Linked DNA regions of Sus scrofa. The protein of the gene in region 1 interacts with the protein of each later gene in a pairwise test. Links are inferred from orthologs where the notes say so. Each region holds a gene or a part of one and is shown on either strand. Other genes may lie near its edges. The genes, in order: CLK3, OAS2 and SDCBP.

What was found.
Region 2: the proteins of CLK3 (region 1) and OAS2 interact in binary tests that used the Homo sapiens proteins (3 or more experiments, as listed by UniProt). The two-hybrid records come from large-scale screens. The link is inferred for Sus scrofa from reciprocal best matches to the Homo sapiens genes CLK3 and OAS2.
Region 3: the proteins of CLK3 (region 1) and SDCBP interact in binary tests that used the Homo sapiens proteins (3 or more experiments, as listed by UniProt). The two-hybrid records come from large-scale screens. The link is inferred for Sus scrofa from reciprocal best matches to the Homo sapiens genes CLK3 and SDCBP.

Annotation. Positions count from the first base shown.
Region 1 is NC_010449.5:58,891,219-58,900,882, reverse strand, and holds the end of CLK3 (dual specificity protein kinase CLK3), read left to right. Parts: exon of another isoform or gene 1-149; coding exon 150-266; exon of another isoform or gene 267-418; intron 419-833; coding exon 834-1,000; intron 1,001-2,927; coding exon 2,928-3,022; intron 3,023-3,114; coding exon 3,115-3,244; intron 3,245-3,482; coding exon 3,483-3,565; intron 3,566-4,097; coding exon 4,098-4,177; intron 4,178-4,354; coding exon 4,355-4,445; intron 4,446-5,057; coding exon 5,058-5,234; 3' UTR 5,235-5,476; downstream 5,477-9,664. Other genes in the region: EDC3 (enhancer of mRNA-decapping protein 3), read right to left, coding at 8,081-8,415, 9,511-9,664. UniProt on the Homo sapiens protein: Dual specificity kinase acting on both serine/threonine and tyrosine-containing substrates. Phosphorylates serine- and arginine-rich (SR) proteins of the spliceosomal complex.
Region 2 is NC_010456.5:38,836,288-38,847,096, reverse strand, and holds part of OAS2 (2'-5'-oligoadenylate synthase 2), read left to right. Parts: intron 1-942; exon of another isoform or gene 943-1,561; intron 1,562-3,568; coding exon 3,569-3,842; intron 3,843-6,744; coding exon 6,745-6,923; intron 6,924-7,807; coding exon 7,808-8,043; intron 8,044-8,203; coding exon 8,204-8,339; intron 8,340-10,809.
Region 3 is NC_010446.5:74,322,546-74,334,035, reverse strand, and holds the start of SDCBP (syntenin-1 CG9291-PB), read left to right. Parts: upstream 1-5,478; 5' UTR 5,479-5,538; intron 5,539-11,490. UniProt on the Homo sapiens protein: Multifunctional adapter protein involved in diverse array of functions including trafficking of transmembrane proteins, neuro and immunomodulation, exosome biogenesis, and tumorigenesis.

The DNA.
Region 1 (9,664 bases):
CTGCGTGTCAAGAATCTGCTCTCTTCAGGGCAAGCCCTATTCCTGGAGTCCTGAGCAGGGTTTGCCAGGAGTTGCTGGGTTGGGGTGGAGGGTGGGGGAAGGGCGGCATGGCTTCTCATGAGAACTTTTGCTTCCTTCCTCGATCCCAGAGGGAAGTCTCAGGTTGCCCTGAAGATCATCCGCAACGTGGGCAAGTACCGGGAGGCCGCCCGGCTAGAAATCAATGTGCTTAAAAAAATCAAGGAGAAGGACAAAGAGAACAAGTTGTGAGTGTCAGCAGGAAAGAGGAGGGACGCTTCTAAGGGTACCGCGTCCACTGCAGCCCCAGCTGCCCAGACACCCTGGGGCTGAGCTGTGCCCTTTGACGTGGTTGGCACCCTGCCTTCTCCCTGTGCCCAGAGCCGGGGGAGTTTGTCAAGTGAGTCTCGCTGGAAGGAGCCTTTGGATTTCAGTACAGGCTCCAGCACAACCAGCTCTGTGTTCTGAGGCAGGCCTCCCAGGCTTGTATTTTCTATTGGGGCTTCAGTGGGGTTCTCAGGTAGTCGGAGGAGAGCCGCCTTGGGCACACAGGCGCTGTGCTGAGCCCTGCAAGCTGTCAGGAAGCTCAGCTGAGGGAGTTGGAGGAAAGCAGTGCAGGTCTGTGGAGTGTACTGGTCTTATCCCATCTCTTTCTGAGATGCAGGGATTATGTCCATAATTTTCTTGGCATGTATCCACATCCTGTGTGTGACCCAGTGGCCTGGGAGAGAGCGGGGATGGCTTCACCTGAAGGAGGGGGTGGGGCAGCCAGCCCCCAGCACGGACCCTGAGCCCCACCCATCCTTCTCCTCCAGCCTGTGCGTCTTGATGTCTGACTGGTTCAACTTCCATGGTCACATGTGCATCGCCTTTGAGCTCCTGGGCAAGAACACCTTTGAGTTCCTGAAGGAGAATAACTTCCAGCCTTACCCTCTACCGCATGTCCGGCACATGGCCTACCAGCTCTGCCACGCCCTTAGATGTGAGTTTCCACCTTCAGGTGGAGCATGGGGCAGCCACATAGCTGCAGCCAAGTCACCTGGCAGTCTTGCTCCCCATCATTCACACCAGCACGTTGCTAACTATTTGCTGAGCCTGAGACACCAGGGCCACTTTGGCTGAAAGGCCTTGAAGTGGGCGACTGTGGGGATGGAGAGGCTGCAGTCCCCTCCAGGGGCCTCCTGAGCAATCTTCTGCCCCCAGGCACTCGGGAAGAGGTAAAAGCAAAGAGCTGTTCTGAAATAGGCCTGGTACCCCCCCCACTCCCACCTTCCTGCTTAGGATGAAAAGGTCAAAGACTAACCTGGCAGACAGATCCCACCCACCACATAGACACCCTGTCTCACCACACTTCCCATCTGTCTGCCAACCTCACAGAGCATATCTGCTGGTGCCTATGCCCGGCACTGCAGTATTTGCAGTGGTTGGAACAGGTCAGAGAGGCTAGTTGGAGAGGAGGTGGATAGACCTAGAGCTAGACTGCCAGGCCTGCATAGATGATGGGACGGGGGAGCATTCCAAGCAGTGTGAGCCGCTTAGTGATGGCCCAGAGCCTGGCAGGTGCTGAAACTCACTCTGGTGAAGAGAGGGCCCGTGTTGGGAGAGGTGGGCTGCACCGTTGTGAGGGTCTTCAGTGCCAGGTGGGGAAAGTGGTGAGTGACAGAGTACAGCCATCAGTGTGATGGGGGTTGGATGAAAAAGGCGGACTCCGAGCCCCCACTCAGGGCTAGGGATGAGGCACAGGACTGGCTTTGTAGGTGGCCCTATGTTGGTTTAATGCTCTGTTGCTATCATCTTTTTTGTTGTCTTTTTTAGGACTGCACCCAAGGCATATGGAGGTTCCCAGGATAGGGGTCCAGTTGGAGCTACAGCTGCCGGCCTATGTCAGAGGTACGGCAACACTAGATCCGAGCCAAGTCTGCAACCTCCACCACAGCTCACGGCAATGCCAGATCCTTAACCCACTGAGCAAGGCCAGGGATTGAACCCGCAACCTCATGGATGCTAGTTGGATTCATTTCCACTGTGCCACGACAGGAACTCCTGTTCATATCATCTTGAGGTTTTTTTTTTTTTTTTTCTGGCTGGGGAAAAATTCCTCAGCATGCAGAAATTCCTGGGCCATGGATCAGACGTGCGCCACAGCTGCGGCCCAAGTCACAGCAGTGACAGTGCCACATTCTTAACCCCTCTTGCCACCAGGGGAACACCCTGAGATTCTTAGTAATTTTTGAATAAGGGGACGTGCATATTCCTTTTGCCCTGGACTTCAAATATTACGTAGCTCGTGGTGGGGAGTGGGAACCACCCCAGGGCTGATGCTGCAACTCTGGTGAGACAGGCTGAGGAGGCCTGGTCCCCCACAGACAGATGGAGGGAGGTTTTCTAAATGAAAAAAGTCTGCCGTATCCCCACTTCTCAAGTATCAGAATGCTTCAAGGTCCTAAGCACAGAGAACTCTGGAGAAAGAAGCCAGTGCAGGAGTTCCCATTATGGCTCAGCGGTTAACGAACCCAACTAGCATCCATGAGGACATGGGTTTGATCCCTAGCCTCGCTCAGTGGGTTCAGGATCTGGCGTTGCTGTGAGCTGTGGTGTAGATTGCATATGCGGCTCGGATCCTGCGTTGCTGTGGCTGTGGTGTAGGCTGGCAGCTCCAGCCCCAATTTGACTCTCAGCCTGAGAGCCTCCATATGCCTCTGGTGCGGCCCTAAAAAAAGGAAAAAGACAAAAAAAAAAAAGCCAGTGCAGCAGCAGTTCAGTCTGCCCGCTGGCTCACTGCTGAGGTTAGGGGCTGAGAGGCTCTGGCAGGCTGGCTTTGGGGGCGGGATCTGGCCCAGCGCTTGCAGCGAGGCCAGAGAAAAGTCCAGGTTCCCAGCATCCGCTTCCCTCCTCTCCTGCTTCCCCAGTTCTACACGAGAACCAACTGACCCACACAGACTTGAAGCCAGAGAACATCCTGTTTGTGAACTCGGAGTTTGAAACCCTCTACAATGAGCACAAGGTATTGGAGGGGGAAGGAGTAAGCCCCTGCTCCAGGGTTGGGTTACCCACCAGGGCAGACTCTTGACCCGGCTCCCCCTCCTTGCCCTTCAGAGCTGTGAGGAGAAGTCTGTGAAGAACACCAGCATCCGAGTGGCTGACTTCGGCAGTGCTACCTTTGACCACGAGCATCACACAACTATCGTGGCCACCCGTCACTATCGCCCACCTGAGGTCATCCTCGGTAAGTGACTGTGTAGCTCCCAACCCTGATAAAGTGGGCAGTTGTTGGAAGGTATGGTGCCTGTCTGCCACCTGGGGCTGGTGTCCTGAGTCACTGTGGCTGTTGACTTGGCCTTATCAAGAAAGGGACTTCAGAGTTTGGGGCAAGAATCATGCCAGGCAGTGTGGTAGTTGCCCTGTGACCTCCAGGCTGGGAACCCAGGGCTGAATCTCATAGCCTCTCCCATCTTGGCTTTCAGAGCTGGGCTGGGCACAGCCCTGTGACGTCTGGAGCATTGGCTGCATTCTGTTTGAGTACTACCGGGGCTTCACACTCTTCCAGGTATGGCCTCTCCCATGTCCCCCCACTGCCTTAAGCACTGCTGCTCTGACAGGCTGCAGCGGCCTAGTGTGGGAAGCCCTCCCACCGCTTACCAGCACGCATGGTGTGAGACTGACCCCTGAGGGTTCTAGGTGCCCAGGGGAAGGACGAGATCAGGGTGGCCGGAACACTCCGGGACTCTTGTGATCAGCCTTTCAGGATGGAGGCTTGGGATGGGAGGAACGAGCATTCCAGGCAAAGGGGCACAGCTATGAGCGAGGGCATGGAGATGGGCACCTTCTGGGGAGTGAGGAATGGAGCAGGAATGAACTCATGGGGTTCACCTGAACGGGGAGGGTCAAGAAGTCCGACCCTGACCTTGCAAGGAGAATAGGTTGGCCTCATCCCTGGCCCCAGGCTGCCACAGGTCAGAAAGGCTAGGACTGCTGTAGGTTTCCATCTCCTGGGGCAGGGAGGAAACTTTTGCCCCTTCTTCTCTGAGGGGGCTAAGGCTGGCACTGACCCCTGGTTGCTCTGTCCCACCCTTCCACAGACCCATGAGAATCGAGAACATTTGGTGATGATGGAAAAGATCCTAGGGCCCATCCCATCCCACATGATCCACCGGACCAGGTAAGGAGGCCTCGGCTCGGGGCCTTTCCTTCCTTCCTTAGAGAGACCTGGCAAAGCTGCTGTCCAGACCTTCCTGCCAGGTCAGCTCAGGATCCCCCACCTGGCCTTGCTGCTGGGCTCCTGGCTGCTGCTGTCTTTTCCACTGAAGACTTGACCCTTCCTGTCCTTCATTTTCAGGAAACAGAAGTATTTCTACAAAGGGGGCCTGGTTTGGGATGAGAACAGCTCTGACGGCCGGTATGTGAAGGAGAACTGCAAACCTCTGAAGGTCAGTTTCTGGCTTCCCCCAGTTCAATGCATGCCAAGGGGACCCCAGGCACTGGGCAGACACACAGCAGCGAGACAGGCCAGGCAGCCAAAGGCTGCCTCCTCACTCCAGCTCTATGGGAGTTGGGTGCTGGCAGTGGGGCTTCTTGCAGACTGCCCCAGAGGGCCCCTTAGCCCTACCCCATCCCCACAAGGTGGCTGTGAATGTAATCGGGGAGCACCCGGGGGGCCAGATGTCAGAAGCCCTTCTAGTTCCTGCCCCCCCCCCCCCAATCTGGGGAAGAACTTAAGCAGGACTGAGGTGGGATGGGGGGAGACCTAGACATGGCCAGGAAGCCGCTGTCAACTGCATTTGGTGCTCAGATGTGGATTTCACAGAGGTGCTCCCTACTCACCTGTCTGAACTTTGCGTGTGGGGCAGAGGCACCAAGCCAGGGAGACACCTAGTAGCCTGCCGAGTTCAGAGCAAACATGATTACTGGCATGAAGAGCTGCTCTCAGTCCGAGAGGGCAGTAGTCCTCCAGGCGGGGAGGTACCACTGCCTCCTCAGCCACACAGCAAGGCTTCCCATGGCCCTGTCATCACACTGAGGCACCTTGTGTCCCTGAGCAGAGTTACATGCTCCAAGACTCGCTGGAGCACGTGCAGCTGTTTGACCTGATGAGGAAGATGTTAGAATTCGACCCTGCCCAGCGCATTACACTGGCGGAGGCCCTGCTGCACCCCTTCTTTGCTGGCCTGACCCCTGAGGAGCGGTCCTTCCACACCAGCCGCAACCCAAGCAGATGACAGGCACAGGCCACTGCGCCAGGAGATGGAGAGTGGGACTGGGCTGCCCGGCCCTTTTCTCCAACCTCTACCATTGGCCCCAGGGCCAGAGCCACCCACGAACAGTGCAATGTGAAGGCAGGCAGGAGCCTGCAGGGGAGGAGACTTGATGCCCAGCTGCCAGAAAGCACAGATTTGACCCAAGCTATTTATATGTTGTAAAGTTATAATAAAGTGTTTCTTACTGTTTGTAACCCCTGGTACCAGTGTGTCCGTCTCCAGGCTCCCTGCCTTCTCCCTTCCCTACTTTATTAATAAAGTCTTTCTTAGTAGCTGAGCTTGTGGAGAGCTAAGTGTGAACTGGGCCAGGCACAGAAGGGCTAGCCAGTGAAAAGACCAGCAGCTCAGGTCCCTTGGGGCCCAGAAGAGCAGTTATAGCCCTGAGGTGGTAGGTCTGCTAAATAGTTCTGAAAGGCACCTGCTCCCCTGCTGGCCCTTGGCCCTCTCAGCCCCCAAGGAATGTAAGCAGTAGCCCCCTGTAGTCAGCCAGGCAGCACCTGGTTGTACCTATCCTTCCAGGCCTGTCCCTGGCTGGGGCTTGAGGCTGTATGTGCCCAATAACTGGTTTACTGAAAGCTGTCAAGTGTAAGAAAGAATCAAGGCAGGCTCCTAGGGCTGGGGAGGCAGTACCTCACTGCAGCCTAGAGAGCAATGCACCAGAGCACAGACTCGGTCACTCAGCTTTATTTTAGTGCTGGTTTTTGGTTCCCCAGAAGCTGCATGAGTGATGGTCTCAGCCACCTGACTGAGGACTGAGCATCGTGGGCAGGATGCCCCTGAAAAGAGCTGACAACAGAGGAACATGCTTTTCTCTAACACCACTGGGGAAGGCCCAGGCCGGGGTGGGGAGAGGCTCCAATGCTGCCTGGAGAGAAAAGAGGGAAAGCCTTGGCCACTAACAATTCCCTGTGGCTCCTCAACACAAGGCCAGCACCCCAGGGCCACTGTGACTTACTGGAGCAAGCAGAGTCTTCTGGGCCAGGGTTCTTCTAGCTCTTTTTCACTGCACCCAATCAGGGGACCTACCTGCATTAACCGGAAGCCAGGGCTGGGTTAACGACTGCTTACCAAAATGCCTGTAATCTTGCACTGCTCCTCAGTTTACAGCCCTGCTTCTATAAAGAGAGGGCCCCATGTGGGGAGCTTCTTGGCCCTGAGAGTAAGCAGAGGCTCAGGAAGGATATACAGCACGGGATTCACAGTCGCTGACCTTCCACTGCTAGAGACAATTCAGCATTTGAAGGAGGATGGGAGGAAAGGAGGGACCAGCCCTCTGCCCTGCCTCATCTGCTCCTGGCTATGCTCCTATAAGAAAGTGAAAGTAGCCTGAAACCCATGGTGCCAGGGCCTACCCTGTGTCCACAATCCTTGCCAAGCCCTTTTACTCACCCCCTTAACCAGAGTGAGTGGGCACAGAGCAGAAGCCTGAAGCCCTGAAAGAGGCTTTAAAGCACAAGCCTTTTGCAAGAGCCTCTCCCAGAAACTTCGGGGCATGGCTCCTGTCCTGCCAGCCTCCAGGGCCTAGGCCTGTGAATGTCCACGGGCTCAGTGCATAGGATCTGAGCAGCACAATGTTCTTCAGGCTGAGCACCCCCCAGCTAGCTCATCTAGAACTAGCCTCATTTTGGCATCTTTGAGACAGGGCGCTGGCCCTGAGCCTACTCATCTAGAAAGGACAAAGAGGGTTCAAGGCCCAGACACTGTAAAAGCTGGGGTGGAGCCCAAAGGGGAGAGACATGCACCCTGCTCTGGGATCACAGCTGCAGAGGACCACTGCAGAGGAAGGGCAGAGGGGGTAGAAGAGAAGACGGGTATGTGTGTGCAGGCAGGGAGCGGAGGGGAGTGGTGGCCTAGGACAGAAGCACCAGGGAGCCTCTTCTGGCTCAGCACCAGGCTCCCCCTGGGGCCTCCCCAATACTAAACATTAAAGCTGCACCCTGAGGGGTCTGGCCCCAGACTAGGCAAAGGCTCAGCCCCCAGCTAGAGAGTATGGGTTTGGGGCGGGGGGCACTGCTGGCAAGATGGGCACTGTGGTTCTCTAGTAACATAACCTTATACTACCTGTACTGAAGACAACAGAAAAACAGTAAAAAATTCCAATATAGTAAAACAATTCTGATGCCACCCCCACTTCTCTGCCTCTCAGAGTGATGGAGTGGGAAGGAGGAAGGAATCTTAGAAAAAAAAAATAACAAAAAACAAAACTCCAGCATAAAACTTAGATCAGCTCAGGAGAAAGGGTCAAAAGCCCCCAAATCAACTTATGGTGGGGCTCAGAGAAGACCTCAAAGCCCTCAGATTACATGGAGGACGCAAGTCTGCCCTCTAGTGGGCAACTGCAGCACAGCCAGTTCTACATGATCGGTAAGGGCTGCTTGGGGGGAGGAAGCAGGGGAGACAAAGCCACAAGCTCTGAAACAGAGCAAGCACAGGCCCCTAAACAGAACTGCCCCACCCCATGAGGCGCTCGTCCAGGTCCAGTGGCTGTAAACCTGAAACACAGTCTGTGAGCTGCCTATGTCTGTAAACAAAGCCCCATCTGACCACACGGGGGCTGAGTGTATGGATCCCTGGACCCACCATCCACTCAGCCTGCCACCTGCCCCGCACACCCAGTGGGGAGGCCTTCCCTGGCTAAGGGCAGGTGACAGGTCAGTTTTAAATACCATCTGTTCTCTCAAAGAAACAAATGCAAACGAAAAAATTGAACAAGGTCCATGAAGTTTCACATCCTTAAGGCGTTCGTTGTCAAGTTCAGTATCAGGAGCAGCGGGGGGACCGCAAGGTCCAGCCTGCCTAGAGCCCTTCTAGGCGGAGTGCAGTGGGATGACAAACTTGCAGCCAAAGGGCGAGTGGTAGTTGATGCCCACCTCCTGGAACACCTGCTGGGGAATGCCGATGTCGCACAGATAGACGCGGCCGGCATGCTCCCCTAAAGGCAGAGGCAGGCCCAGAGCCAGCGACCACTTGGCATCGATGCCCTGTTCAACTTCATGCACAGGAGGGTCTATGCTGAGTACTGGCGCTCGGTTCTGGTTGGCCCAGGCCACAGCTGCCTTGTACCAGGGCTGATCCCGCAGGAAGGCATTCTCGGGGCAATCCAGGCAGTTGATCACCAGGTCCACAGGGCTAGTGGGCAGATCTGCAGGTGGAAAGAGTGCCATCTGAAAACCCCTACGAATCAGAGAGCAGCCCAGGCAGGGGACCAGAACCAAGGTGGCCCCAAGAGTGATGCCACTCCACCACTCTGATGACGCTGCAGGGGCCACCTTTTACTGATTCCACCACTACCATGCTGCCTCCGCCACATCATTTCCCTCTCCAGTTACCCCAACAGCCTTCACACCGCTCACTGTAACAATCTTCTCTCAAATAACAGCTAAAATGATCATCTGCAACCTGAGCTGGATTATCTCTCTTCTTATCCTTCCATTGACTCTCCATCTCACCCAGAGTAACAGGTCAAATCCTTACAATAATCTATGATTAGACCCTAAATGTTTAAGTCTGCTACCTTTCACCCAACCCGCCAACAATCTCTATCTCCCTCCACTCCCTTCTTCCTTCCTTTCTTTTTACAGCCGCCCTGAGGCATATGGAAGTCCTTGGGCAGGGTGGAATCAGAGCTACAGCTGCTGGCCTACGCCACAGCCACACCAATGCAGGATCCGAGCTGAGCTGCAACCTACACCACAGCTCATGGCAACGCTGGATCCTTAACCCACTGAGCAAGGCCAGGGATCGAACCTGTGTCCTCATGGATACTACTGGGATTTGTTTCTGCTGAGCCACGACAGGAACTCCTCCCTGCTTTATTTGTCTCCATTAACACTTACTACCATCTGACCGGATAGAAATGTTACTTGTGGCCCATCCTAACCAGAATGTAAGCTCCATGGAAACACAGATTTAAGAGGAAAAAAAAAAAAAAATCCAAAAGAACAAAACCTGCTGCCAATATCCCCAAGTGTCAGGAACGGTGCCCATCTTGTAAATATTTGTGAAATGAATAAATGGGTCCCAACCTCTCCATCTGAGTGGAGAACGAGGAAGGTGAAGGGATGGGAAGTAGGCCGGTTGGCACCAAAATTATTTATCTCAGACACTAACTCCACTCACAGGGAAAGAACACTATGCTTGTGGTGCTTTTCCACCTGCCGCCACTGGGTGGCACTGCCAGACCATCAAACTACGGAGGAGGGAGAGGGCCTCGGCCTGGCCCTGTCCAAGTGCTCACCTTTGAGGCTAGATACTTGTTGGCCTTGGGTCTTGCTGAAGAGAGACAGCTCGTTGGTGATGGATTCCAGCATCTTCATGAAGTTGGGAAGGAAGAGGATGACCTGGACATCATGGTTAGCTAGATGCCTTCCACAGCTGATACCCTGAGCCCC
Region 2 (10,809 bases), on another chromosome or scaffold:
GCACAAAAGAAGTTCCCATTTGGGGCAGCGGGTTAGGGATCCAGCATTGCCGCAGGTTGCAACTGTGGCATGGGTTCGATCTTTGGGCCGTAAACTTCCACATGCTTTGGCACAGCCAAAGAAAAAAAAAGTGAAATAAATTAGCTGTGATTACTGTTATTGCTTCTAATCTCCTTATTTTCCAGAGGGGTAAACTGAGGCTAGAAGACTTCAGTAAAGCTTCCTACCGATGCTCTGTGGTTTCAACAGCCAGGGGTGGGGCGCTCTCATCAGTTAGAAATGTTTGGTGCTACAGACACAAATCCTGGGGCTGAGACGGAAGATTCTGGACCTTTGGAGAAGAAAGGATGCTGAGAAGGTGCTAAGACCCTAGGGTAGGGAGAGGGCATTGTAGATGCCCAATCCCAGGCTCTCCAGCACTGGAATCCCGCTTCTCTGCAGTCACAGCGCTTTCTGGCTTCTGCCCTTACATGCATCCACTAGCCCCAGCAGTAAAGACATCCGAGCCTTTGGCGTCTTCTGCCTGGGCCCAGATGAGGAAACTGAGGCACGGGGAAGTTATTTAATAGTTGATATCCAATTTGGGATTGTAAGCGCTAGTGATCCGTTTGGGAGCTTGCACCCTTAACCCGAAGCCATCCTACCTCTCAACATTGTTAACTTTTTTCTAACACACGCAGCGCCGGGCGGCAGGGGAGTGGGGGCGGGGGCGGGTCGCCAAGCCGCGCGCGTGCGCGTGTGAGGCAGGGCGCTCCGCGGCCACCCCAGCGGAAGCGGAAGCGGAAGCAGGTGGAGCGCTAAGACCGCGCGGCCCCCGCTGCAGAGGCTTGAAAAATGCTCTCCTGCAGCTACCTGCTGTGTGCACAGATTTTGTCGGAGACTTGAAGGGGACGGAGCTTGACGCAGCTCTCTCCAACAAAGACCGAAATCTCCTCTCCGAGGCCTAAAAGAACGTGGTCGGTGCCCGGCGGTCTTCCTGGAGGGTCCGCAGCAGCCTTGAGCTTTAGAAAAGCAAGGCCGATGAGAACGGCGAAGGTGCAGGCTTATCGGGAGAAGATGGAGAAGGAGGGCTGGAGACGGGGTGCAAGGACGCACTGGCTCAGCTGGACGACCTCCTCATCGACAACTACACAACGGTTTCCTGTGCAAGGAAAGGTCTTCTACCTGAAGTTGAAGAGCGACTACTCTCGCTGCCTGGCCCAGGCGGCTCCCGGCGAGAAGGAAAACAGCGTGACCTAAGCCTTGGAAATCGGCAAAGAACATGTGCACCTGACGCACCCAGGCGGCTGGGCCTGGCCCTCAGCTTCTCCGGGTTCTATTACGAGATCCAGGAGGCGCGCAAGCAGCCCTGCCTCTTAGCCAAACAGGCCATCGAGGATACCAGAGCCGAGCTGGAGTCCTGCAAGGACTCCACGCTCATCATGCAGCTGCTGCGAGACAACCTCACCCTCTGGGCCAGCGACCCGTAGGACTGGGAAGCCAGAGAAGGCAACCAGGCGCCTTGCTGGGCTGACGGTTGCCCCGAGCCCAGGGGAGCTCCCTTTTCGAATCGTGCAGACAGGTGCGTCCAGCTGGTTTTACCACAACTGTCGGTCTAGGTAAAAGGCAGGAGATAGCAGTGGGGAAGTTAGGAAGGAGAGTTAGCCAGACAGGCTGCAGTAAGTATTCAAGGAATTCAGTGGGTAAAATAAATACTACTTTGGGGATATGATTTCCAAAACAAGCTGATAGCATTTCCTTAAGCAGTACTGCTGTGCATGCAAAAATGAATTCACCCCTCTCACCTCTTTCTTCAGCTAATGGAGAACAGGGGAAGCTGAGACCCTTGATTCTGTCAGTCAGCTTAATAACCATTTAATGTGCGGTTTCAGTAGTGCCTTGTTTGTTTTTTTCCTTTATACAGCCACACCTAGGTCATATGGAAGTTCCAGGCTTGGGGTCCGATATGACTGTAGCTGCTGGCCTTCACCACAGCCATAGCAATGCCAGATCCAAGCTGCCTCTGTGACCTACACTGCAGCTTGCCGCATCCCTAACCCACTAAGCAAGGCCAGGGATCGAACCCGCACACTCATGGAGACTATGTCAGGTTCTCAAACCACTGAGCCACAATGAGAACTCCCAGCACCTATTTTCCCTCTTTAAATTATGACATGGACAAACCTTTTCAATGCAATGCATCTAAAATTTTGATACCTGTGACTTTGGGAGTGTGTATGATTGTTTAAGAATCATAGATTTTCTGGAGTCCCCGTTGTGGCACAGTGGAAACGAATCTAAGAACCATGAGGTTGCGGGTTCCATCCCTGGCCTCGATCAGTGGGTTAAGGATCTGGCGTTGCTCTGAGCTGTGGTGTAGGTTGCAGACACGGCTCGGATCTGGCATGGCTGTGGCTTTGGCTGTGGCATAGGCCAGCGGCTATAGCTCCGATTCGACCCCTAGCCTGGAAACCTCCATATGCCACAGGTGCGGCCCTAAAAAGACAGAAAAGACCAAAAAAAAAGAATCAATGGATTTTCTTTTGTAACTCTTTGGCTATCGTCCTTGTGTATCCTGACAGCGCCAAGTGTGTCAGCCCATGTCAATCATGATGGGTGATTACAAAATGCCAGACATATATTAAATGTTTTGGAATTCAGTGGGTAAATAAATGCTACTTTGGGGATATGATCTCTTAAAAAATAATACATACAAAAAGTACACAGGAGGTTCCCATTGTGGCTCAGTGGGTTATGAATCCAACTATCCATGAGGATGTGGGTTCAGTCCCTGGCCTTGCTCAGTGGGTTAAAGATCTAGCGTTGCTGTGAACTGTGGTGTAGGTTGCAGATGCAGCTCAAATCCAGGATTGCTGTGGCTGTGAGGTAGGAAGTACAGATCCAAGTGTACAGCCTTATAGATTGCCACAAACAGCATATATGTGTAACCTACAGCCAGATGGAGAAATGAAATGTTTCCAGCCCCCACCCAAGAGCCCCTGAACCTCGCATCCAGTCACTACCCCCAAGCCCAAACAACCACTCTCCTGACTTCTAACAGCATAAATTCTTTTGGCTGGTCTTTAAACTCTGTATAAATATAAGGTGACCAGCTATCCCATTTGCCCAGAACTGAAGGGTTTTCTGGGACATGGGCCTCTTGGTGCCAAAACTGAGAATGTCCAGGGTAAGCCAGACAGGTTGTTCACCCTATGTAAAAGAAATCGTGCACCATGCAGCTTTAGTGGGGTTTTGGACCCATCTGTTGAAGAAATGTGTGTGGTTATGGGCAGCTGTTGTTTATCATTTCGTTGTTGTCCTGTATTCCATCATGTCGATACACTGCATTTGTCCATTCTGTTGCTGGTGGCCATTTGTGGCCTCCAGTCTGGAGCTGGAATGAAAAGCGATGCTGGGGGCGTCTTGGGTGGTCACATGAACCAGACTTTTAGGCTCTGGTGACATGGAGCTTTTGCTTGTGTTGAGAAACATTTCTACCTGCTGGGGCACCCTGTGACCCCCCCCCCCCCCACACACACACACACACAAATGGTTCAGAGGCTCACATCGGCTTCTCTGTTGCTGACAGGGTGGCTCGTACGGCCGGAAAACAGTCTTGAGGGGCAACTCTGATGGTTCCCTTGTCATCTTCATCAGTGACCTTGAGAAATTCCAGGATCAGAGTAAAAACCACTCTGAGCTCCTCAGCCAAATCTGGGCACAGTTGAAATGCTGTCAGCTCACAAGGAAGCTGGAAGCCAAGATGGAGATCCAGAACTTCAACAGTGGGCCCACCACCATCCAGCTGTTCGCTAAAGAGCAGAGCATCACTTTCAAGATCCTGCCCGCCTTCAATGCTCTAGGTGAGCCCTCCTGGGTGTGTGTGGGGTGGTGGGGTGTGTAACAGGTCTGGAGGGGCTTGTGCAGAGAGCAAAGCCAAAGAAAAGGGTGGTGGATAGCCTGAGGGTGGCATAAATACCATTGGTGCTTTCCAAAATGAAGGACTTTCAAGAGAGGCGCTTCCTCCTGCCCTGAACTTACTCTCTTCTTTAGAATGACTCTCCGTCTTCTAATTAGGAGAAAATGTTCTAGACTCTAGAATCTAGAGCTTCTCACACTGTGACGTGCACACAGATCATATGAGCAACTTGTTAAAATGCAGGTTCTGATTCAGAAGATCTGGGTCCGGGATTCTGCTTTTGTTTTTTGGTTTTTTGGGTTTTTTTTAAGGGCCGCACCTGGAAGTTCCCAGGCCAGGTGTGGAATCAGAGCTATAGCTGCTGGCCTACGTCACAGCAACAGTCACAGCAACAAGGGATCCGAGCCATGGCTGTGATCTACATCGCAGCTCATGGCAGCAGTGGATCCTTAACCCACTGAGCGAAGCCAAGGATTGAACCCATGTCATCATGGATACTAGTTAGTTTCATTATAGCTGAGCCGCAATAGGAACTCCAGGGATTCTGTATTTCTAACCAGTGCCATGATGTTGCTTCTGGTCTGTGTACCATACTTGAGGATTTAGACTAGAATAAATGTTCATTAGAGGAAGAAGATGGAGCAGACATCTGGGGAGAGTTTGGATGGGGCAGATTTTTGACATCTGCCTTCTAATCAGGTTAACATTGATGCAAGGATTTTCCATGGGTAGCTATTTGAATGGATAAATGTTGGGGAGTTCCCATCGTGGTACAGTGGAAACAAATCCAACTAGGAACCATGAGGTTGTAGGTTCGATCCCTGGCCTCCATCAGTGGGTTAAGGATCGGGCCTTGCCGTGAGCTGTGGTGTGGGTCTCAGACTCGGCTCGGATCTGGTGTGGCTGTGGCGTAGGCCAGCAGCTGCAGCTCCAATTAGACCCCTAGCCTGGGAACCTCCATATGCCGTGGGTGTGGCCCTAAAAATACAAAAAAGAAAACAAAAAAAAAGGTAAATGGTTGGATGTATGGATAGGTGGATAGTTGGATGGATGGATGGTTGATTGAATAAACAAGTCTCAGTAGTTATAGCTTAGTCTATAGGTACATATATTATCACAAGCTGAAAATGCACTAATTTATAAGGTAGGCAGCCCCGAATTCTTATCCTGCTCCCACTATAACCCACTTTTGCCATCAGTAAGATCAGGCTAGAAACGGCTACCTTCTAAGCCCTTTAGGACAATAAGGGTTGAGAATACTTGCCTGCCTCAAACCGGGGCTGGAGTCAAGGTGAAGGGGCACAGTGTCACTGAGAATTCTTGGAAATCCTGTTCTTCCCTCTGGTTCAGAGCCGGGTGGTTGGAGATGAGGCCCGGGCGCCCTCTGCTGGGTTCGCCCATCCTTCGAGGATGGTGTGAGAAAAAGAAATCAGCTCTTCCTCATGTGTAAGAATCAGAAGCTGCCACCAGATGGCGGTAGAGCTACACATTCCAAACATCCCTTTTCTAGAGGAAAACAATCATGGTTGCTTTCTGAGAAAAGTAACCTAACTGGGGGATTTTAAAATTACTTTTTACTAAATATGAGCCTAACTAATCTGGCCTGCTCTTCACACCAGCTCCAAGCCAACCTCTTTCACCTCTACGTCCCTTTCCACAGCCATGTACCACCACTGCTCTCTCCCCAGGGTCTTTGACCCAAAGCACGACTCTTCTATTTACTTGACTTCTTGGTGTTTCAGCTTCCTCATCTGTAAGTGAGCAGCTGATTGCACGAACCACATGAGAGTTTTGTGAGGCTCACATATTTCCCTCTACAGGAAGGGCTTAAACTGTGCCTGGCATAGAGTAAGCACTCAGTCCATGTTAGCTGTATTATTGTTGTTATGAAGACGGCGGAATGCTTTTTCCGTCCGCCTCTCTGCCGCAAGTGCACAGAACCATGCCTGGCTGATAGTAAGACGTCAGTAAGTATCTGTCAAGGTGAATGATAAGAATAATCCGGCTGCTGTCTCCTGGTTTATCTAAACCGTAGGGCTCAGCTGGCAAGAAAGGAAACCCTATGATTAAATTCTGGACTCTCTTGCCATCTCCTCCACTGTCCTTGCTTTCTCGTTTCCCTACCAGTGGTGTTCAAACTCCGGTGAGTATCAGAATCAGAAGGGAAACTTAGTAGAAAATACAGAGGCCCAAGTGGGGATACTCTCTCCCACTGGAGTATCCGATCTGCAGAGCTAATATGGAAAACTCTGAGTCCCAGGCTCACTGACCCAGGAGGCTCCTGGGCCTGTGTTCCCCGATTGGCTCCACAGCAGGATTCCGGGAGGCACCCAGTTTGCCCCTCGTCAGCCCCATCTCCTGGGGTTCCACTCTGCAGGGCGTGCGCCTGCCCACAGGCCTTCATCCCCAGCCTCCAGCACTCTGCCTTCACCCTGCCCGCCTGCACCCTTGACCCTCTGATTTAGAAATTCACTGGACAGGCTCGATAGCAGAATATACCACATGAGGTATATAAACATTATTGTCTTCCAGATGGGTGCCAGCGGCGCCAGGGCCATTTTTTTAAAGAAACCATCCTTTCCCTACTCATTTGGATCCCCCCTTTTGCATTTGTAACTGTGTCTCCTGTCCCTCCGTTTGGTCCTACTGACCTTTCTTAGGACAGCCCCATACCGTGTCCATAAGACTCATTTTAGAGTCTATGCTTTATTGTCTAGCAGGACAAGCCACCCCTCACCTTTTACGCAAATCTACCAGTTCTCTTAGGGACGAGGCAGGGAATGTGTGGGCTCACCAAGGTCAAGTTCCATGAATACTAAAAGTTCCACGGGTCTCTTTGATACCAGGCTTAAGTGAGAAGCCCAGCCCCTGGACCTATCGAGACCTCAAAAGATCCTTGGATATGATGAAAGCCAGCCCTGGCGAGTTCTCAGTCTGCTTCACTGAACTCCAGGAGAGGTTTTTTAATAACCTTCCCAGAAAACTGAAGGATTTGATCCTCTTGGTAAAGTACTGGTATCAACAGGTAAATTTCAAAGTGCGCGTCTATTGCTACATCCATTTCCCTTTCACTGAGATAATTCACATCCGGCAAAGTACAGCAAGCTGAAGAATACGGCTCTGCGCCTTTTTCTGTCCTTTTAGGCAACACCCAGATCAAGATGGGGCACATTTCCTGCACCCCAGCGGGCCGCCTACTCACAGGCAGTCCTCGCCCCAAACGAACCCTTGTCCTGACATTGGTCACCACAAATTAGTTTCACTTGCTTTTCACTCAGTGTCAATAGAATCAGACTATGTGCGTCACATCTGCCCTCTTTCGCTCCATATTATGCCTAAGAGGTTCGTCCATGTTGTTGCATGTGCTAGTGGGTGTTCGTTGCTTTGTTCTGGTCCCTTGCATTAATACACTGAACATTGACACATTCCACTGCTGAAGGAAATTTAGGTGGTTCTCAGATTGGGGCTGTTATGAATTAGGTTATGATGGATATTTCCCTACATGTCTTTTTGTGACTTTGAGCACTCATTTCTCTTGGGTAAATATGCAGGCATGAGACTGCTGTGCTGTAAGGCATACCATATGCATGTGTGTGTGTGTGTATGCACCTTGTGTATATGCGTTATAGGTATACACATACAATTAGGTGTATATGTAAATATACACGTACACGTACATGCCATGCCGTGTACCAGATCACACTGCCAGCAGCAATGTGTGACAGCTTCAGGGGCTCAACATTCTTGTCAACACTTGGAATTGTCAGTCCATCGAATTTGAGCCATGGTGTCATTTTGGTCATCGGCAGGGGACAGTGACTTCCTATAGACTTCCGGTTCCTTGATTTCGGACCCTTAGCATGGAAGGAACGGTCCCCATTTAACTGCTGCCTTTTTCTTTGCCCGCAGTGCCAGGAAAAGCTGGCGGTTTCATTCCAGCTGCCGGTGTATGCTCTGGAGCTGCTCACAGTCTACGCATGGGAACAGGGCTGTGGAGCAGAAGACTTTGACATAGCTGAAGGCCTCAGGACGGTCCTGGGGCTCATCAGGAAGCCAGGAGAGCTGTGTGTCTACTGGACAGTCAACTACAACTTCGAAGATGAGACCGTGCGCAACGTCCTGCTGGGCCAGCTCAGGGCGCGAAGGTAGCACGCCTCCCACCACCCCCTCTCCTTGCCTCTTCATCTGCAGGCCAGGCTGTGCCCGCTTAGAATAAGGGCGCTTCCTCATCCTCCCCCAGCTCATTTCTTCTCCCACCAGCAGCCCAACTGATTTTTTTTTTTTTTAATCCAATGGAATTTATAGGCCAGTAATCCTGGATCCAACGGACCCAACCAATAACGTGAGCCAAGATAATTCGTGCTGGCACCTGCTAAAACTAGAAGCTGAAACCTGGTTGTCTTTTCTGAACGAGTCACCTGGACCATCTTGGAATGTTCTGGTGAGAGGGCTTTTCCAAGCCAGTGCATGTCCTGCTGTGGGCAGCACACCCCCCCCCAGTCCCCTGCCCCCCACCAACACTCGGCCTGCGGCTTCATCCAGGCTCTCCATGTGTCAGTTTCCTAGAGTTGCCGTGAAACCACACTGTACACCGGTGGCTTAAAGCAACAGAAGTGGATTCTTTCACAGGTTTGGGGGCTCCAAGTCCAAGATCAAGGTGCCAGCAGGGCCGCGCCCCCTCGAAAATTTCCAGGGTCAAATCCTTCCAGGCCTCTCCCAGCTTCTGAGGGTTGCTGGCATCGTGGCTTGTGGCAGTAGCCCTCCACTCTGCCTCCCTTGTCACACAGCCTCCTCTTGTGTGTCCACAGTGCCTCCTGTCCCTGTGTCTCTCTCCTCTCTTCTAAGGACACCAGTCATACCAGATGAGGGTGCATAGTGGTGACCTCGTCTTAACTTGGTCACCTCTTTGCAAAGACCCATTTTCCAAATCAGGTCACATTCATAGGTCCCGGAGGTTGGGCTTCCACATGTCTTTTCAGGGGACACAATCCAAATCCATAACACTCCACGAGGAGCCTGCCCTCCCACTGAAAGGAAGGTCAAGTGCAAAACTGAACAAAGAGAAAAGGGGGCCACAGATGAAATCGAGCGGAGGAGTGGGTGGCAGTCACCCCTGCAGATGCCAGGATAGGCTCTGAGCTCCAGTCGGGCAGGGGCAGAGGACCAGAGTGAGACGGGAGGCTGGAAAGGGGAGGACGGTCAGAGGGGCAGCCGTGAAGAGAGGCACTGGCCTCTCCCCGCCCTTCCCCAGAGGAAGAGCAAATCTATCCGCACCAACTGCCTTGCACTCTTGGGGCTTAGCAGAGGACAGTCCCACAAGAATGTTCTCTGGTTACACCAGTGAACCCATTCAGCTTTTATGGGGGTCATGGGGTTGAGGGGTGGGGGTGGCAGATGCATCATTTGAAGCCCAATAGGTCAGTTGAATTTCACATGGCACAGATATGGGTATGGGACCAATTTACATCCAAATTATGGGAGGCAGGCATCTGCACATCACTTACACAGGAATTTGAGGGCCCGCTGAGCAACGATCTGGGATAGAAATGGTAGACGTAAATTGAACTTGCCAAATTCACAGGGCCCTGGAAGTGAAGGAATCTGTGAACAGGACGTCCTTGGGATAATCGGCCAAATCTGAAAATGGATTGTTTCTGGACAGTAATAATATCTGAATCTCTTGCCTCCCTCTGCTGAGGACCCTTGTGATGACACTGGGTTGCAGCACCCTGCCCCCCACCCCAGGATAAGCTCTCCATCTCAGGATCCTTAACTGGAATGCATCCATGTAGTCCTAGACTAGGATGTGGACGTTTGAGGGGTATCGCCATTCTGCCTCCCACCAGCAAGGTGCAGACAGGCCTGCGGGAGTCCCTGACCGCAGCAGGTGGAACAGGGGAGAGGAGATGCTCAGGTGAGGTATCGTGACCCATGCTCCTCAGAGCACGTCCTCTCCCAAAGAGGAACCGCACTTCTGTGCAGGTGTCAGACCCCATCTAGACAGCAGAATATGGTTTCTTTCCAGAAGTGGCTGCAAGGGCCAGGGAGTGAACAGGTCCCACCCTCCAGGGTCTTCCGCTCCCTTCGAGGGCACAGCTCCCCCTGCTGTGGAGGGTTGAATAGTGTTCTTGCAAAATTCAAATCCCCTGAATCCTAAGGATGTGATCTTTGGAAGTAGAGTCTTTGCAGGTATCATTAAAATGAGGTCACCCTGAGTTCCCGCTGTGACTCAGTGGTTAACGAATCTGACTAGGAACCATGAGGTAGAGGGTTCGATCCCTGGCCTTGCTCAGTGGGTTAAGGATCCGGCGTTGCCGTGATCTGTGGTGTAGGTCACAGACGTGGATCAGATCCCACGTTGCTGTGGCTGTGGTGTAGGCCGGCAGCTACAGCTCCAATTTGACCCCTAGCCTGGGAACCTCCATATGCCACGGGAGCGACCCAAGAAATGGCAAAAAGACCAAAAAAAAGGCGCGGGGTGGGGGGAGAAGGCCATGTGACAGCAGAGGCAGGCACAAGACAAGGATGACCATGGACTGGCAGAAGCTGGAAGACACACGGAAAGTTTCTCCCCAGAGCCTTCAGAGAGCAGGGCCCTGCCCACACTTGGATGTCAGATGTCTAGTCTCCAGAATCATGATGTTATAGCAGTGCCTGGAAACCAGTCCACCTGGGCTCAGGGTGTTTAACAGAGGCTGATAGAACCTTAAAAAAGCAATGCGTGTGGTCATCAGACGTCAAAAATACATGGAGTTCCTGCTGTGGCTTAGTGGGTTACGAACCTGACTAGTGTCCATGAGGATTCGGGTTCAATCCTTGGCCTTGTCCAGTGGGCTAAGGATCTGGCGTTGCCATGAGCTGTGGGGTAGGTCCTGGACTTGACTTGGATCCAGCATGGCTATGGCTGTGGC
Region 3 (11,490 bases), on another chromosome or scaffold:
CTTGAACTCTTAGGCTAATTTTTGTTCCCTTATAATGTCTTTCCATAGTTGCTCAAGCTTTTTTCTTTTTGGCCACACCTGAGGCATGTGGAAGTTCCCAGGCCAGGGATCTAAGCTGCTGGGTCCTTAAAACCCACTGAGCCACAAGGGAACTCCAAGCTTTTTCTTTTTTAAAAAAATTATTAAAGTTGGAGTTCCCATCGCGGCGCAGCAGAAATGAATCCGGGAGTTCCCGTCGTGGCTCAGTGGTTAACGAATCCGACTAGGAACCATGAGGTTGCGGGTTCGGTCCCTGCCCTTGCTCAGTGGGTTAAGGATCCGGCGTTGCCATGAGCTGTGGTGTAGGTTGCAGACGCGGCTCGGATCCCGCGTTGCTGTGGCTCTGGCGTAGGCCGGTGGTACAGCTCCGTTTCAACCCCTAGCCTGGGAACCTCCATATGCCGCGGGAGCGGCCCAAGAAATAGCAACAACAACAACAACAGCAAAAGACAAAAAAGACAAAAAGACAAAAAAAAAAAAAAGAAAAAGAAATGAATCCGACTAAGAACCATGAGGTTGCGCCTGCCTCAGTGGGTTAAGGATCCTGTGTTGCTGTAGCTGTAGTGTAGGCCAGCTGCTGTAGCTCCGACTGGATCCCTAGCCTGGGAACCTCTAAATGCCGTGGGTGTGGCCCTAAACAAAAAAAGAAAAAAAATTATAGTTGATTTATATTGTTTTAATTTCTACTGTACAGCAAAATGATTCAGCTATACATACATGTATTCTTTTTCATGTTCTTTTCCATTATGGTTTATCACAGGATATTGACTATAGCTTCCTCTACTATACAGTAGGACCTTGTTGTTTATCCATTCTCTACATACCCTTGAGCATTTTCTTCAACACCTATCGCAACTCTATTTGTGTAATTATTATATTTTAATAGACTTTTTTTAGAACTGTTTTAGGTTTACAGAAAAATTCAGGAAATAGTACCAAGAGTTCTCATGTACTTCCATCTCCCCAATTTCCCCTTTTCTTAACCTCCTGTGTAAGTGTCTGAACATTTGTTGCAATTGATGAACCAATCTTGATACATTATTGCACATCAGGGTTCACTCCTGGCTAGCATGTGTTCCCTTCCATCAAGGGTTCTTTGACACCATGGTGGGTGTCCCACAATTTCATTTAATCTGGCACTGCTACCCAGAGTTAGTATCAGTTCCTACTCCTCAAAGGACAGGATCTCTAATGAGACTGCACCCACATCACATAAGGACCACAGATGGCATCTTCATGATATCTATTTCTGGCCAATGTGGCTACAGATTTAGAGACACCCACAATGCCCCTTCAAGTTTGAACAGTGACTCACAGAACTCACTGGAAGCACTATAATTCTGATTGCTGTTTTGTTATAAAGTATACAAATAAACAGCCAGATGAGGAGACACACAGGACAAGGTCCAGAGGAGTCCCAAGGGCCGGAGCCTCTGTCCTTGATGAACTGGGGACACTCTTCTGGCAGGTAAATGGATACATTCACTAACCAGGACGTGCCATCAAGCACAGATGTTCAGACTTTTTCTTTGGAATTTCATTACACAGGTATGATTGACTGAATTATTGACCCAGGCATGAACTCAGTCTTCAGCACCCTCTCCTTCCTGAAGGTTGGGGAGTGGGGCTATAGGTACCAACCCTCTAATCGCATGTATGGTCTTTCTGGTGACCAGCCATTATCACAGAGCTTTGAGGAGCCCTCTCTCCTCAATCCCACTCCAGCCAGGAGCCACCTCATTAGCATAATTACGACATAACCACCCTTGGAGGTTCATGAGTTGTCAGTGGGGTTTATTTTGTTTTTTTGTTTTTTTGTCTTTGTGGGGTTGCACCCATGGCATATGGAGTTTCCCAGGCTAGGGGTCAAATCCGAGGTGTAGCTGCCAGCCTACGTCACAGCCACAACAACACAGAATCCAAGCCACACCTTCAACCTACACCACAGCTCATGGCAATGCCAGATCCTTAACCCACTAAGCTAGGCCAAGGATTGAACCTGTGTCCTCATGGATGCTAGTCAGATTCGTTTTCGCTGAGCCACGACAGGACGTCCAACTCAAGGGTATTTGAAGTTCTGATCCAAAACTGGGGACAAAGGCTAATATATATATACACACACATAGTTTTACCACATGCTGTCCTGTCTGTGGTTTTCGATAAATCCATAATGTCATGTGTTTACCACCATAGTATCATATAAAATAGCTTCATCCTAAAAAAATTTCCTTGGGTTCACATATCTTATCCCATATTTTCCAAATCCCTGGCAACCACTGTTGTTTTTACTGCCTTTAAGTTTTTACTTTTCCCCCCAGAACGTCACATAGTTGGGATCATACAGGATGTAGCTTTTTCACACTAGTTTCTTTCACACAGCAATATGCGTTTAAGGTTCCTCCATGGCTTGATAGTTCATTTGTTTTCATTGCTGGATGATCCATTTATGGACATAACAGAGTTTATCCATTTACCTGTTGAAAGATATCATGCTTGCTTCTAGTTTTGAGCACGTATAAATAAAGCTGCAGAGTTTTGTGTGGGCCTGAGTTTTAAACTCATTTGAACAAATATACATGAGCAGGATAATTGGTTCATACAAAACTACATTGAGCTTTTTAAGAACTTCCAAATTGCCTTTTAAATTGGTTGTACTTTATATTCCTCTCAGCAATGAGTGAGAATTCCTGTTGCTTCACATCTTCATTGCTATTTGGCATCGGCATTGTTTTGGATTTTAGCTATTCTAAAGGTGTGTAGTGGTGTATTTCAAATTGTCATTTCACTTTGCAGTTCCCTAATGTCATGCTGTTGAGCCTCTTTTCATACACTCATTTGCCATCTGTAGATCTTCTTGGGCGAGGTGTGTATTCAGATCTTTTGCCCAGATTTAAATTGGGTTCTTTTCTTACTGTTGAGGTTTAGGTGTTCTTTGAATATTTTGGATGCAAGACTTGATCACATATGCATTTTGCAAGAGTATTTTCTCCCAGTTTGTGACTTATCTTTCCATTCTCTAAACAATGTCTTTCACAAAGAAGAAACTTTACATTTTAATTAAGTCTTATCTTGTCATTTTTTTTTTTTATTTCTGGCGTGGATTGTGGTTTTGGTGCTTCATTTTAAAACTTATGACCAAACCAGAGTTCAACTGGATTTTCTCCTAGGTTATCTTCCAGAAGTTTTATCGGTTTGAGTGCTAAGTTTAGGTCTATGACCTATTTCAAATTAATTTTTGTGAAAAGTGTAAGGTCTTGTCTAGATTTTTTTTTTCTTGTGAATACGGAGGTCCAGTTGTCCTAGTACCATTAGAAAAAACTATCCATTGGGAGTTCCCATTGTGGCTCAGTGGGTTAAGACTAGTATCCATGAGGATGAGGGTTCAATCCCTGGCATCACTCAGTCAGTTAAGGATCCAGCGTTGCTATAAGCTTTGGTATAGGTCGAAGATGTGTCTGGGATCCTACATAGCTGTGGCTGGCAGCTGCAGGTCTGCTTCAGCCCCTAGCCTGGGAACTTCCAAATGCCACAGGCGTGGCCCTTAAAAAAAAAAAAAAAAAAAAAAAAAAGACTACCCATTAAATGCCTTTGCTCTTTAGTCAGAGATCTGTTGAATATATTTGTGCATGTCTATTTCTGGGCTCTGTATCCTGTTCCATTGATTTATTTTTCTAGTCTTTTGCCAATCCCACATTGTCTGATTTCTCTAGCTTTATAGTAGGTTTTGATGCTGGGCAGAGTCAGGCCCATGACTTTGTTCCCCTTCTTCCATTTTGTGTTGGCTCTCTGAGCCTTTTGTATTCTGTAAAAACTTTTTAGTCAGTTTGTTAGGATTCAAAAATAATTTGCTGGGATTTCGACTGAGATTGTGCCAAATGTATCAAATTGGGAAAAACTGATATAAGACAATAATGTGTCTTCCTATCCAAGAACATGGGCTATCATTACATTTATTAGTATAATACTATGGTTTCTTTCATTAGAATGTTTATACTTATCCTCACATAGATTTTGTGCATTTTTTGTCAGTTATACCTAATTATTTTATTCCATTTTTTGGTGCCAGTATGAGTGATATTGTGCCTTTAATTTCAAATTCTAATTGTTTACTACTGTTATATAAGAAAACAATTGGCTCATATGTTAAACTTGAATTCTGCTACCTTGCTATAACCACTTTTTTTTTTTTTGGCCAATTCTTTGGGACTTTCTATATAACCCATGCCACCTGTGAACAAAACTAGTTTTATTTCTTCCTTCCCAATCCAATTAAATATCTATTTTATCACCTAGACCTCAGACTCTGAGGGCACAGTCTACATATTACATACTTGTCACCTCTTTTATGCTCAGACTTTTACTAGTTTTGCCCCAGATTAGGTTATTGTGTACTAAATAATTTAGCTAGAAATAAAATGCTTCTAAGGTAATAAATGCTATTTTGTCAAGTGCTCTGTTACTCCATGGTAAGTATGGAAAATTTAGGTAAAGTGTGCCTCAGTGTCTTCACAAGCTAAAGATGTTGCCTCAGTGTTCTGTTTTGCCTCAGCTGGTTAAGGACCCAGCCTTGTCTCTGAGGATGCAGGTTTGATCCCTGGCCTCGCTCAGTGGGTTAAGGATCCAGCAGTTGCTGCAAGCTGTAGGTCACAGGTGAGCCTTGAAACCGGTGTTGCCCTGGTTGTGGTGCAGGCCTGCAGCTGCAGCTGTGATCCTACCTCTGGCCTGGGGAAGTTCACAAGCCAGTACCTGCAGTTGTTAAAAAAAAAAAAAAACCAAACAAACCAAACACAGCAAGAATATCTCAGATAGACGTAAGGATCAAATAAGACTACTGTATACATCAAGTTCTTAGGACATCTTCTGGAACATAGCCCTTAAGAAACAGTTTTTCACTTTTTGTGTTAGGACACAGCTATTGTGCACTACCTCACATAACCCTCAACAACCCGTGAACTTTAGCTCAGACGGGCAGAGGGTAAAAAAAGTCAAACAAGTTGTAACACAAAGAGGGCAGGGGTTGGGAAGGGTTAGAGAGAGGAAGGCTTCAGAGCCTGTAGGTAGAGCGGTCAACCGAGAGGGTGGTGATGAATATGACCACGGTGGTAGAAGTCCAAGGCTGGCCAAGAAATCGCCAAAGGCTAGGGTTTCGGGGCTCCCTGTGTTCGAGGTGATGGGAACCATCATGAATGAGGCAGACGAAGAGTGGCGTCGCTGGTCACGAAGTGCCCAGAGAGGGGAGCAGGTTGGCTGGGGGAAGGGGGGGCTCTACATCCCCAATCTCTGCAATAGTGGGGGCCGCTGAGCCGCCCGCGCCCTGTTACCCTGGCGACGGGGTCACCTGACAGAGCGTTGCGCGCCTGCGCAAGCGGAAGGGGGGAGCGGCGCGGTGACGCGCCTCACAGGCGGTCCTCGGGCGCGCGCCGCCTTCCTCGCTCCGGGTCTCGGAAGTCCGAGTCAGTGACCGGAGGCGGCGGCGGCGATCAGGTACCTACGGCCGGGGTGAGCACCAGGGGGAAAGAGGGGCGCACCCTCGGCGTCCCGGGCTCGGGGACGGAACCGGAGGGGCAGAGTCCCCGGGCCGCTTAGTGGAGGGGCGTCTCGGCGCAGCTACTCGCGTCGACGGCGACGCCCTGTCGTCGGTGGTCTCCGCGCCCCTCCCGGCGCCCGCGGCCCGGGGCGAAAGTTTGCGCGAGCGGCTCCCTTGGCTGCCGGCGACCCTGCGGACTGGGGGCCGGGGCCAGGACGGAGCCCGTGGTCGGCCCGCAGCCCCCCACCCGCGGCCGCCTCGACTCTTTTTGTTCCTCCCGGAGGCGGCCCGGGCGGTGAGGGGACAGCGGCGGCTCCGGTCTCCGGGTCGTCCGGGCGCCGCGTCCCCGGGCTCTTTCTCGGCGACCTCACCGCAGCGTCCTGTCTGGCGGGAGGTAGGAGGCGTCCTCTTGGGGTGAAGCCTTGACTTTGTGTGGGGGGGGGGTGGGGGTGGGGAGGCTGCTCGGGGCCGGGTTTCTGGACAAGCTGGAGGAAGGAGCCGCGGTTCCCGCTCCGCGGCTGCGAAGGAAACGTCCCTTGAGGGCTCGTGACTCAAAGCTTTCGTTTCAGGATTTCCTTGTAATGATGTGAGAGCAGAGCCCAAAGGATATGGAAAGTTTGCCTTTATCACCAAAATGGATTGAGTCATGGAGCCTTATAATGTGCCAACTTCTAAAAAGAAGTGTCTAGCTTTATCTAGTCTGTATGTAGTGTCTGCATAACTTGTGTACTGTTGTTTTTTCCACCATACACAGCTCTTAGTATATGTAGTTCACCAAACTCATAACACCCAGTTGTTTCAAAGGAAATAATTGGTTAAAAAAAGGAAATTATGTGGTAAAACAATCGCAGGCTGGTAATTTCTATCTCAACTATATATGTGATTACTTTAAAATTTGTCCATTCTGTAATTTTTAAAAATCTGAGGTTGAGGACAAACAGTAAGAATGTTTTGTTTTTCCCATTTTCCCTGTGGCCACCGTACTTTATAAACTTTAAATGGCGAGTAAATATTACGGATCATGTGGTTTTTGCTGCGAAATAAAAATAAGGAAATGCCTTTTAATAGGTTCAGGAAATAGTCATTCCGTTACAGTCTCTATTTAACTTTGGCAACAGTAATTTTTGCGATTGGGCGGTAGAAGAAGAATGTAAAAATCATGAGGAAGAACTTACCTGTGGTTGGCAATAAACCTGCTGTTGAAGAGAATAGTTCCTAAATGAACATGACTCACCTGTTGTTTTTCCTGTTTCTGCTGGATTTAGGTTCTTTCTTTTTTAGGTAGTAAATGCCAAGAGTTTCGTAAAAGATAGATTCTCCCAAACAACACCTGTTAACATTTAGTAATAGTTATCTTCGCATTTATTAATTTCTTTGCAAATGCCACCAACATTTTTTTGTCCATTTATTTAGTTTCCGAAGAGGTAACCAGTTAAATGGCTCAACATTGAATCAAAGAGTGGTATAAAGTGTCTCCCCCCAGCCCCTGTCAAGCACTGCTGTTCTTGATATCTTTATGATTTTGACTACTAAGGATCTCATAAGTGGAATCAGTTTTTGTCTTTTATGTGAGTGGCTTATTTCACTTAGCATAATGTCCTCAAGTTCACCCATGTAGTTGTGTGTTGCAGAATTTCCTTCCGTTTTAAGGCAACAAAATTACATTTCCGTGTGTGTGTATTCCACATTTTGCTTATCCATTCGTTTGTTGGTGGAAATTTGGGTTGCCTCCACGTTTGAGTTATCTCTGTGAATAATGCTGCTCTGAACACAGATATAAAAATCTCTCTTCAGATGCAGATTTCAGTTTTGGGGGGAGTATACCCAGAAATGGAATTGCTAGATATATATATAGAATTCTATTTTCAATTTTTTAGGGGAACTGCCACACTTTTTTTTTTATGGCCCCTGTGCCATTTTGTATTTCCACCAACAGTGAATAAGGGTTCAGATTTTTCCACGTGTCACCAACACTTTTTTTTGATAGTTGTCACTCTCGTGGGTGTGAGAGTTGGTATCTCATGGTTTTGATTGGCATTTCCATAATGATTAGTGATTTGAGCATCTTTTCGTGTGCTTGTTGGCTGTTCTATATTCTTTGGAGAAATGTCAAGTTAGGATCTTTGCTGATTTTATGTTTTTAATTTTTATTTTTTGTTTTAGGAGTTCTCTAAATGTTCTGGGTATTAATCTCTTACATCTGATTTGCAAATTTTTTTTCCCCATTCCATGGATTGTCTTTTTACTCTATTAGTATTTTTTTGTTTGTTTGTTTAAGGGCCGCACCTGTGGTATATGGACGTTCCCAGGCCAAGGGTCAAATCAGAGCTGCAGCTGCTAGCCCCAGCAGCACCAGATACCAGCTGCATCTTTGATTTGGCAACTCCCGAATCCTTAATTGCAGCTCCTGGCGATACCAGATCCTTAATCCACTGAGGGAGGCCAGGTGTGGAACCTGCATCCTCATGGATACTAGTTGGGTTCATAGCCACAGTGGGAACTCCCATTGTTAGTGTCTTTTGATGCACAAATTTTAAAAATTTTCATGAAGACCAATATATCTTTTTTCTTTTGGTACCTGTTCCTTTGGTGTCATATCCAATAAATCTTTGCCGAATCCAGCGTCAGGAATCTTTTGTCCTGGTTTAAGAGTTTTTATTGTTTGAGAAAAGTCTTACATTTAGATCCTTTATCCATTCTGAGGTAATTTTTTGTACCTATGGTATTAAGTGAGGGTCCACCTTCTTTCATTTACATATGGATACCCAGTTTTCCCAGCACCATTTGTTGAAAAGACTTGTCTTTTTCTGTCGAATGGTCTTGGCACCCTTGTCAAAAATCATTTGACCTTGTATATATACAAGAGCTTATTTCTACACTGTCCATTCTGTTCCATTTGTAAAGACGTATCTTTATGCCAGTACTACACCATTTTGAAATACTGTAGCTTTCTAGTAAGTTTTGAAATCAGGATGTGCAAGTTCTACAGTTTTTTTTTCTTCCCAAGATTGTTGGGTATTTTGGGTTCCTTGAAATTCCATATGAATTTTAGGATTTTTTTCTATTTCTGAAAAAAAAAGTTGAGGTTTCAGTAGGGATTGCATTGATTCTGTGTTATTCCTTTGGATAGTATTGACATTTTAATATTAGGTCTAGCAGTCCTTGGACATGGGATAGGCTTACATTTAGTTGTATTTTCTTTATTTTTTTCAGCAGTTTTTTGAGGTTTTTATTGTACAAGTTCTTTACCTCATTGATTAAACAGCTCCTAAGTAGTTTTTTTCTTTTCGATGTTACTGTAAATGGAAATGTTTTTGTGTTTTCCTTTTTAGATTGCTCATTATGTGTAGAAATGCAGCTGGTTTTCCTGTTGACTGTTGTGTTACATTGCTGAATTCATTAGTTCTATGTGTGTGTGTGTGTGTGTGTGTGTGGAGTCTTTAGGGCTTTCTAAATCTTAAATATAATAAGGTCATATCTAGAAAGAGTTAAACTGTACATCTTTTCCAATTGGATGCCTTTTGTTTCTTTTTCTTGCCTAATTGCTTATGGAACTTCTAGTATTATGTTGAAGAGTAGTTTTGAAAGTGGGCATCCTTGCCTTGTTCCTAATCTCAGAGAAAAAAATGTTTAGTCTTTCACCTGTTTGAAACACTCATACATTACTGCTAAAATGTTAACTAGTACAATTGTACTATAGTTTTGCACATACGGCTTTTATTATGTGGAAGTAGTTTCCTTCTACTCCTATTCCGTAGTGTGTTTTTATTGTAAAAGGATGTTGAATTTTGTCAGATGACTGTGTTTGTTCTCTTCATTTTGTTGATGTTACTTACATTGAACAGTTTTCATATGTTGAACCATCTTTGTATTCCAGAAATAAACCCCATTTGTTTAAAGGTGGCTAATCTTTTTAATGTGCAGCTGAGGTCGCTTGCCTAGTATCTTGTTAAGGATTTTTGCATCATTGTTCATAGGGGCTGTTGGTCTGTAGTTTTCTTTCTTGTGTCTTCATCCAGCTTTGATGTCAAGGTAATGCTGTCTGCATAGAATGAAAGTGTTCCTTCTCTTTCATTTTTTTGGTGTAATTTTGAGAAGGATTGGTAGTAATTCTTCCTTAAGTGTTTAATAGAGTTCACCTATAAATTGGTCATGTCTAGTGCTCTGCTTTGTTGAGAGATTTTTGATTACTGATTCGGTCTCTTTACTGGGTATAGGTCTATTCAGATTTTCTGTTTTCTTTGTTGTTTAATCTTGCTAGATTTTGTTTCTAGGAATTGGTCCATTTCATCTAGGGTATCTAATTTTTTAGTGTACAATTCATAATGCTTTCTTACCTGTTTTATTTCTGTAGACTCAGTGGTAATATTTCAGACTAACATGTTGTTTTCTCTTTTTATTTCTTAGTTCATTTAGCTAAAGCTTTGTCACTTTGATATTTTTGAAGAACCAAATTTAGGTTTCATTGATGTTCCTTTATTTTTCCGATTCTCTGTTTCATTTATCTCTGTTCTAATCTTTAATTCCTTACTTCTAGTTTGTTTAGTTTGTGCTGCTTTTTCTGATTCCTTAAGTTCCCCCTTTTAACACAAATGTAAGCATACTTTATATACTGCTCTAAATCACGCTTTGTTTTTTCTAGTTAATGATATTTTGGATCTCTGTCAGTATTTTGTGTAGAAGTACCTCCTTTGTTTTAAGAATTTTTGCTATTACAGTTGGTGTTTCAGTGAATAAACTTTTATTTACATTTTTCCCTTTTTGTGTGTAGATATGTTTGTAGACTAAAACCTGAAGTAGTATTACTGGGTTTATGATTTTGGTAGATATTGCAAACTCACTCTTTAGGGAAATTGTACTAGTTTACACTTGAGCAGTAATGTATGAGTGTTTCTTAAAGCCTTACTATCTGGCAGTGTTACTAACTTTGAATTTTTGCCAATTTAATAGGTGGGAAGTGGAATCTTATGGAAAGAAAATTCTACTTAGAGTGGACTTCATAAGACCATGTTCTCAATGGCTTATCATTAGAATCTCCCTGGATATTTATTAAAAGAAGTATTCCTAAATCCTTCCAGGAAATCTGTGTCAGCCTGGGAAATTATTTTAACTAGTGCCCAAATAATTGTGATATGATGATTAACCAAATTTGAGAAACATTGCTGTAAAAGACTGTTTAGGATTTTTCAAAGTATGCTCCTTGATACCATATGTGAACCATCTGGAATGCTTATTAATCTTCATTGTACTAGAAAACATGGTCATTGCCATTTATCGATTGGGTCCAATGGATATTTTTTATTTTTGTTTTATATTTTAGATTACTTTATGAATAACTTGCAAAAGTGAAAATAAAAGCTTAGTGAAATAGTCTTAATTAGAAACAGAATTCTAATAAAAACTTGAATAAATGTAAGAAACCCAAATTTTTATTCTAAATTTTCCTGGTTTTGAAGATAGATGTAGCTGAAATGGGCAGCATCTTTTAGTACAGCTGATTGCTCATCACCACCTGTCTTCCATAAAGTTGGAAGATAGTCATTTTATAAAAACTGTTTTAGATTTCACCTACATCTCTAATATGTCCTAGCTTATCATTACTTTTAGTTCTTGGCTGTCAAAACAATACTGATTCTAGATTTCATGTACATCTCTAATATGTTCTAAGATTACTCTCTGGTAATTTTTGTACTTGCATTGTTAAAAATGCAGTATTTTTGCAGACTGTAATTGCTTGTGACTTTGAGAGGATGACCATCTACTTCTGTATTTGAAAAAATTTTCACTTATACTTTTATAAACACCATTTGGAATAATCAGCACAACAGATTCTTAAAATTTTCTCTGCATTACTGTTTTCATCTGGTCACCTTTGTTTAAACACCTGCCTTCATTTGGCTACTTACAAACCATGTCAAGTAAGT